Linked DNA regions of Macaca mulatta. The protein of the gene in region 2 purifies or fractionates together with the protein of the main gene of each other region. This does not show direct contact. Links are inferred from orthologs where the notes say so. Each region holds a gene or a part of one and is shown on either strand. Other genes may lie near its edges.

What was found.
Region 1: the proteins of ARRDC3 (region 2) and ITCH purify together in Homo sapiens (co-immunoprecipitation; 5 studies listed by BioGRID and IntAct, counting the BioPlex papers as one, with this or other methods). This does not show direct contact. The link is inferred for Macaca mulatta from reciprocal best matches to the Homo sapiens genes ARRDC3 and ITCH.

What each region holds. Positions count from the first base shown.
Region 1 is NC_133415.1:87,186,463-87,191,061, reverse strand, and holds the start of ITCH (E3 ubiquitin-protein ligase Itchy homolog), read right to left. Parts: upstream 3,057-4,599; coding exon 2,910-3,056; intron 2,846-2,909; exon of another isoform or gene 2,822-2,845; coding exon 2,666-2,821; intron 2,200-2,665; coding exon 2,109-2,199; intron 1-2,108. UniProt on the Homo sapiens protein: Acts as an Acts as an E3 ubiquitin-protein ligase which accepts ubiquitin from an E2 ubiquitin-conjugating enzyme in the form of a thioester and then directly transfers the ubiquitin to targeted substrates.
Region 2 is NC_133411.1:97,757,989-97,762,258, forward strand, and holds the start of ARRDC3 (arrestin domain-containing protein 3), read right to left. Parts: upstream 2,975-4,270; 5' UTR 2,760-2,974; coding exon 2,480-2,759; intron 592-2,479; exon of another isoform or gene 34-591; intron 1-33. UniProt on the Homo sapiens protein: Adapter protein that plays a role in regulating cell-surface expression of adrenergic receptors and probably also other G protein-coupled receptors.

The DNA.
Region 1 (4,599 bases), on a different chromosome or scaffold from region 2:
GTGGTTCCAGCTACTCAGAAGGCTGAGGCACAAGACTCACCTGAACCCAGGAGGCGGAGGTTGCAGTGAGCCGAGATCACGCCACTGCACTCCAACCTGGGCAAAAGAGCAAAACTCTGTCTCAAAAAGAAAAAAAAAAGAAAATAATAATAATAATTCGGAATTCCTCAAAATGCTAATAAACATGGATTCCATATAACCTAGGAATTTCACTCTTAGGTATATACCCAAGAAAACTGAAAACATACATTCTCACAAAAACTTGTTCACAAATGTTTATAGCATTTTTCATAATATCCAAAAAGTAGAAACAACCCAAACATCCCTCAACTGAAGAATGGATTTTTAAAATTTGGTATACTCATACAATAAAATATTATTTAGCAAAAAAAGGAATTAAGTAATGCTACATGCTACAACAAGGATGAACCTTGAAAACAGTCTGCTCAAAGAAGACACAAAAGGCCACACATTGTACAATTCCATTTATATGCAAGATCCAGAATAGGGAAATCTAGAGACAGAAAGATCAGGAGTTGCCTGGGTTTGTGGGTGGATGGGTTAAATGGAGAGTGACTGCTAATGAGTACAGGGCTTCTTTCTGGAAGGACAAAAAAATATATATATATATTTTTGAGACGGAGTCTCGCTCTGTCGTCCAGGCTGGAGTGCAGTGGCCGGATCTCAGCTCACTGCAAGCTCTGCTTCCTGGGTTTATGCCATTCTCCTGCCTCAGCCTCCCAAGTAGCTGGGACTACAGGCGCCTGCCAGCTCGCCCGGCTAGTTTTTTTTTTTTTTTTTTTTTTTGTATTTTTTAGTAGAGACGGGGTTTCACCGGGTTAGCCAGGATGGTCTCGATCTCCTGACCTCGTGATCCGCCCGTCTCAGCCTCCCAAAGTGCTGGGATTACAGGCTTGAGCCACCGCACCCGGCCAAAAATATTTTAAAGTTGATTGTGGTGATGGTTGCACAACTCTGTGAATGTACTTTTGGGGTTCAGAAACTGATATCCCAAAATATGGTGCTTTGACTCGTTGAACTAAAGGAGTCTCTCAAGATCTCTCTGACCCCTGCAGCATCCCTCCCTCAATCTTCTTTCTCTCAAAGTACAGCATGAAGTTGTTTTCTGAAGTTCTCTTATCTGCCTAAGTCCAGATCCACCAAAGAAGGAAACAATTACAATTACCTTTGTTCCTTCCTTGAGTTTTCAATAACTAAACTTATATAGCAGGAATATAAAGACTGAAGTCTTTTTTTTTTTTTTGAGATGGAATCTCGCTCTGTCGCCCAGGCTGGAGTGCAATGGCATGATCTCGACTCACTGCAACCTCTGCCTCCTAGGTTCAAGCGATTCTCCTGTCTCAGCCTCCCAAGTAGCTGGGATTACAGGTATGCACCACCACGTGCAGCTAATTTTTTTTATGTTTAACAGAGACGGGGTTTCACCATGTTGGCCAGGCTGGTCTCAAACTCCTGACCTCAGGTGATCCGCCCACCTGGATCTCCCAAAGTACTGGGATTACAGGCGTGTAATCCCAATAAATGGGTAACCTGTAGGGGATATGAATTATATCTCAATAAAGCTGTTAATACAATACAAAACAAACAAAATAAGCAACTACCCAGGTGCCCATGTTCAAGGAAAAAAAACTGTAAAATATCCAAGAATATTCTACAATAAAAATTACTATCTGTATGTCTTCATTCATTCATTCAGCAAATATTAATTGAGCACCTGACATGTAACAGCCATTAAATATTTTGTTCTCTTAAGATTTTTTTTTTTTGAGAGTCTCACCCTATCACCCAGGCTGGGGTGCAGTGGCGCAATCTCGGTTCATTGCAACCTCCACTTCCCAAGGTCAAGCGATTCTCATGCCTCAGCCTCCGAAGTAGCTGGGACAGCAGGCGTGCACCACTACGCCCAACTAATTTTGTATTCTCCATGTTGGCCTGGCTGATGTCAAACTCCTGGCCTCAAGCGACCCGCCCACCTCAGCCTCCCAAAGTGCTGGGATTACAGTCATGGGCCACCATGCCCGGCCCTCTCAGGATTATTTTTTAATCACATGGGGAAAAATAAAGCTGCCGATGTTTCTAAAACTTACCAGTGATCTGAAGCTGTGATTTCATGGTGAGGCTACCCATTGAACCAAGTTGTGATCCACTGTCAGACATACCACCAATAGGTTGGAAAACCTGAACATGGCAAAGGAGGCAGTGTAAACATCAAAAATTCCCATTAAAAACGTACGTAAATAGTGCTAACCTGGCTATTACTGAAGACAGTGTAACAAAGGCCTTTACATTGCTAAACACAATTTTCAATTCTAGTCTTTATCCTACCTAACTTATTGGCAAAATCTGACAATGCTTGTTAGTACTACAGGGGCCAAGACAAGACTTCCCCTTTGCGCCCAGTGAAGGTTCACTGAAAATCATCTGACAAAAGGCAGGCAGATAAATTTGAGAAAAGGCATACATAACTATTAGCATGCATGAGTCGGGGTGGGGTGGATCACAAAATGATCACCCCATCAAGCAATGGGGTACAGATGATTATAACCTGGAGGATATTACCTATCCAGATAGCTTTAAATATCATCTATATAACATGTCCCAAGCAACTTTATTTACTTATTTATTTTTTGGGAAAAACTCTCACTCTGTCACCCAAGCTGGGGTGTTCTGGAGCGCCTCCCGGGCTGGGGGGTCCTTCTGCTTCAGCCTCCTGAGTTGCTGGGACCACTGGTGCACACCACCACTCCCGACCCAGGAGGTAAGTCCGCAGTGAGCTGTGATCACACCACTGTACTCCAGCCTGGGCAACAGAGGAAGACCCTACCTCAAAAAAGAAGAAATAAGATACAATAAAAAATAAAATTAAACTAAATATACTTGGCACTTACTGTTTGCCAGGTACTTTTGTAAGAAGTACACAAATACAATAAGGCAAACAAAATGCCTTGAAACTGTAAACGCTGTCTTGAGTTTTTATGCAAATTTAGGTTTCCGTTTAAAAATTTAAATATAAAACAATTATGATGGCTTCTCATTTCTGCAAAAATGAAATGGAACAATAATTAATTCCTACTGAGATGAACCCTATAAAATCCAACCTACCTCATTCTGTGCTTACATACAAAAATGCTCGAAGCTAAAATTTGGTCTCAACCATAGGGACTAGCTCATTTTCTTGGCATAATACATATATTTTTTCCTTTACCTTGTTTATTTAAATTGCACTATTTCAAATGAGATGTTTTATAAACAAAATCTGCTAAAAGAACCCTTTTATTTTAAAAATGAAAGGTAAACAGCATAAAGTCATTAGTAGTCATCCATAATATATTAAGAAATGAGATGTAACCTAAAAGCCTTTTAACACCATATTGCACAAGATATTATTCTGATTCAAATGGCTTGTTATGAGAAGGGTCCTCAAAGACATTATAACACATTATGTACACGTATTACTCCCTCCTCAATATCCAAAAGCCTGTTTGCCATAGAACGACAATATCAAAAAAAGTAAATTAAGGGGCAGTGAGAAAAGTCCAATATCTAGGTGCTGATATTCTGCATGATAAAGGTACTCATCTCCATCAACAGTCACTCATCTCCACTAACGATTTATTGCAAGAAAATGCCCTTTCTAATAGTACAGTATAAACTATTCTAAATATAAATTTACATTAATTACAAAGTCGCAAAAAATTTTAGATCTCTACAAAAATGAAGTATATTTTAAAAACTAAAATTAACTTCATGTAGAAAAGATTAATGAAAGCATAGCCTGCAAATATTTTTAAGAACAATGACTCTCCAGATAATTACAGAGAATCATTATGGTAGAATTGTGAGGTGCTCTGCCAAAAACATGCTAGTAATTTCAATAATTTATGTACATATACATACTAGTTTTACATAACTAAAATTCACCAAGCATTTTAAATTCTTGAAAAGAATAAAAATTGCTATTTGCATAATATCAAAAAATTAGAAGCAACCTATATTATCAATTGGCATATGTTAAATAAATCACATATTCATACCACAGAACAGATTACTATGCAGGTATCAAAATAAGTAACTTATTAATGACTGAAATTGAAAGATCCCAAGAACATCTTTAAAGTTGCAGAATAGCATACATGAGTTGGGGTGGGGTGGATCACAAAATGATCACCCCATCAGTATGTACAGTATGATATTATTTTTGCAAACTAAAACACTATATACTCCTATGAGTACAAATACTTATAAATAAACACAGAAAAAGTATACATTCCATTGAGGAGGAGGGCACCTGTGTACTCAAGTAGGTGGTCACAGGGAACTGCAGTTTTGTATGTATTGTTTGAAGTTCTAGAAGTGAAACATGTATCATTGTTGACTTGTACAATTTTAAAAACAGCATAAAACAGAGTAGAAAAAACAGATAACCTATACTTCAAGTCCCATCCTCTCCCCTGAGAGCCAAACTCTTAGGTCTCACTATCACTTACAACTGCATACATGGTTAAAATGATTAAATCTAAGCTGGGCGCGGTGGCTCACTCCTGTAATCCCAGCACTCTGGGAGGCCAAGGCGGGTGG
Region 2 (4,270 bases):
CGAGGGGCGGGGCGAGCGAGCCGCGGCGCTTCCGCTTTACACGCCCCAGCCGGCGACCGGTTCGATCTGGCTTGGGCCACTCTGACACCTTTAGTTTCCGCGAGGGAAACTGGGGCGGCCGAGGGGAGGCGGGGGCCTGAAGCTTTCGGAAAACAATGGGGGAGGGGGCAGAGGATACCCTTCGAAGCCCCCACCTAGATTTCGATATTGGAATCATTTTCTTTCTTCCCCGGGCCAGCCTCTGCTCTGTCCCCTCAGGTCAACTCAAGGTAGCCAGTGTGGCTACTGGAGAGGTCGGGGAACACGCTTTGTTTCAGAAGCGTTCACAGGAGTCCCCTGACACCTCCTACCCGGCAGATAGCTAACGGGGGTCCTGCCAACCCTTCCCATCCAAATTCCATCTGAAAAGGATTTTCCACTAAAGTTGGGTCCCGGGCCATCCGGCACCTGTAAGGCCGGCAGGAGCGTCTGCCCTCAACTCAGCTAAAGCCTGAAGTCGTTTCCTTTCGATGGTCCTTAGCAGGCCCAAAAGAGGGGCGATAGAACGTGATGTGACACGGGCCGGGCGCCCCCAGAAGCCCGGGAACAAACGTGAGTATGGACTGGGTGGGGGTGGCTCTCTGGAGGGACCTTTACCGGCGCACGCCGGTTTCCTAGCCTCGCCCCAGCAGCGGCGCGAGCCCCCTCTCCCCACCCGCCCGCGCCCAATCCAATCAGCGCCTGCCATCGCCTTAGCAACAGGCTAACAAACCTGGCTCCGCCTATCCCGGGCGCCCGGGGCGGGGTCTCAGTTACCAGGCTAGTTTGAGAGCTCCCAGTTTCAAGTCATTGAAACTATTCCAGACTGAGCTCGTCTACGCGTTGCAGGGTTTGGGGGGGGGGGCATTTTGTTGGGGGTGCAGGGCATTTAGTTTTCTTTACCATGAAATCATGGTGTAACTAATGAAATATTTGTCCTCACAACTCATTGTTCTACTTTTCCCCCATTGCAAGTCTCAACCTCTTGAAGAAAAATCTGTTTCTTTCACCCATTTCATAAAAGGCTGCAATATTCAGAAAGGTAGAAACACAAACTCATCTATCTGCTTTTCAACAAATACCAAGACTGTCATTAGGCATCTGCATCTCCTATCAGTGTTAACGCTTGGAGACATTAATTAGTTATTTCAGGATGCAAAGTACCTGTATCTACGAAAATCCTACTAAAGAACTGAGTTCACCTTAATAGTTTCAGAAATCATGCATTAATACTGCCCCTCAAAGCATCCTTCATTTCTCACTTGCCTTAGTTCAGTCATCAGCACCTCTCCAGGATGTACGTTTTTAATATAAAAAAGAAGGTAAAATATGGCTCTAATTTTTTTCTGAAAAATCGCCAACATCTGAACTAAATACTGCATTAAAAAGGAGAGGCACAAAAATTACATAACCAGTTTTAACATTATATTCTTCTTGGGCTAGGAATTAAGTCATCGCCACCACCTGACGCGTGTAACCAATCTGCTGAGAGCAGAACAAGCGCCCCTCCTCACCACCCCCCAGAACTGGTCCGAAACAGGATTGAACCGCTTCTAACAAAGGGTGGAAACTTAGAAAAACAAGCCTAGACTCTCCTATATTTCCACAATGTAACCATTTAAACAATAGATTGGAAATCTCAGGACTCCTTCTCCCTTTGACAACCCTTTATCTCCCTCTTCTAACCAAAAATCAAATCCAGTGTGCCCTATACTTTTCAATTCCATTTGACTGGCATGGGTTTCATTGAATGCACGTTCCAAAGTTAGACATGATGCTCGGAAAAGAAAATTACTGATCCTAAATGGCTTCTAAAACTGACTCGATACCTATCATAATGACAGACAGTACCCTTTAAAATAAGGAATGCTGGGTGTAAATTTTTAAAGGAATGGGAAAGAATAGAGAAAAAACACGTGGGGTGTTGATACCATATGTCAAAATAAGCCACATAAACCTTTTATGAAAGCACAGTGATCAATTCTTTAAAGTCTTTTGCATTCCAAAATTAAAAATGAAACACGCCCATTAAGCCTCTTAAAAATGTTATTACATTTCTTGATTGAAGTTTAGTTTTTACATCTTAGGTTGCAAGTAAAAGGGCAAAAATCTAAGACTGCAGCTTTTAGCAATTCATTTGAAAATATATTAGTAAAACGATTGCATTGGATTCAAGCAGAATTTATAAGGTGCAAATGGACTACAAGCGCGTATGGCACAGACCAAGCCGGGTATAGAGGTAGTTGAATAAGTGTAGTTTGCAGTCACTTTGCAGATGCCTGCATGCATTACGGCTTAACACACGATGAACGTCAAGGGGAATCCAAACCTTCCAACTTTGCTAACCTTTATCAAACTGCTTAGTTATACTATGAGTAGAATCACGTTAATTCAGAAAACTGAAAAGGTACGTTTCCAAAGAAAATGAGTCCAATGACTTCTGAATAACAGAAAAACTTACCTCTTTCGTGCCCAATTAAGATGTCTTTATGGTTGAAATATTCTACTTCTTCAGTGTAATTCTGTGTATAGGCAGTATTGGAGCCGGCGTTTCTAGATTCAGTCCAGCGTACTTTCGCATGCCCTCTTGCATGAATTTTAAGAGATTTTACTCTGATTTCCCCAGTAACTTCTAAATTTACCCTTCCTGAGACAGTATCCCCACTAGAATACACAGGGACATTGCTGTCATTAAGACAGTCAAAGCTTATTGTCAAACTCTTCACCTTTCCCAGCACCATGTTTATAACAAAATCTATAAAAATATAATGTAAGACAAAAAAGTCAAGATCGCATATAAAATGTGATCTTCACTTAACACTGATCGATATTTTTGCCGTGCAAAATGCTTGCAGGCCGGATCAGTGATTCTCTACAAATAGTTCATTGAGATTTCTTAAAAAGTCAGGGCAGCAGAAGCTGCTGCTCCGCGCTCCCGCTCGTCTCAGTGGTCTCCTTACAAAGACGGGCGGCTAAAGGCTGCCAGCTCACTTTAAGAGCAGCTTTGTGAAAAACAACCCCAATGCGCAAGCGCAGGCCGCGGCTGCTGTCCGCCCTCCCTGCGCGCCCCCTCCAGCGCCGCGCCGCGCCGCGCCGCGCTCGCTCCCTCCCTTGCTCGCTCGCTCCCGGGTACAGTAGGTGTAGAGTTAGGGGAAGGAGATACTGGAGCTGCCGGCCGGCTGAACCTGACTTCTCTTCATTGTGGGCTCCTATTGGTAGGCAGGCTGCCGTATACCCTCGACGTGCTATCTGGAGCCCCTTACCGAGCACACTCTACTGGAAAGATAATGGCAGAGTGGGGCGCGAGGGGACAAGGCCTGGGTGGGGAGTTTGCAAAGCCAAGTAAGGATAAACTGCAGTGACCACCCCAAAGCGTGCGTTACTGGCACTGCAGCGTTTTACCAACTGCCTGGATGGGAGGAGGAAAAAGTGATGTGTGAAGAGAGATGGGGGAAGGGAGAAACCGGTTGGGCAAGCGGCCGATTGTTGAGCATAATCTAACGAATTTTCAAAGAAAATGTAATAAAACTGGACAAGAAGTATTGTTCATAGACAAGAGCATACTTGGCTTGGATTTTTTTTTTTTTTTTTAAACCAGTACTTTGTAGGCAGGGTGGAAATGAACTCAGTCGAGGTCAAAGGAACCTTAGTCCTTTGAAGAGCGAGGTAGAGAAGCAAGTACAATGTAATCAATAGGCTTTTTTGTCTCCTCAACTTCTTTCTCCTACATCGCTTAATTAGATAGCACCGAAAAACAACCAAGTTGTTTCCAGGATGACACGGGTGGGGGCTGGGGGGAAGCTTGACCACTTCCTCGAAGGAAGAAAAAGTCCTTTTTAAGACACCACCTACGGCTAGATTTGCAGAGTAAGACATGATTACAACTCCTGTGTCCAGAGGAATAAGAATAGAGTTCGGCCTAAAAAAGTACCATCTTATAAAAGGCATAGGACATAGTGGTTTAGCTGACATATTGTTTGCAACAGAATCGGAAAATCTTTGTTAGAAATTAGTGAAGCGCATAAAATTGTTTTTAAAAAGCATGATTTGGTATATAAATAGGGGTTAACTGTGAAGCTTTAATTTTCGGCCGAAAGAGCCTTGGACCATTTAACGTAGTAATTCTCATGATACATCTTAAATATAGGTACATTTCTCTTTTTATTGTGAATGTTTGGTAAAAAATAGCAGTGCTTTCGTCACATCACACTGGGATTCAGAGCATAACAGCATAAACTCATCTAGATTACTG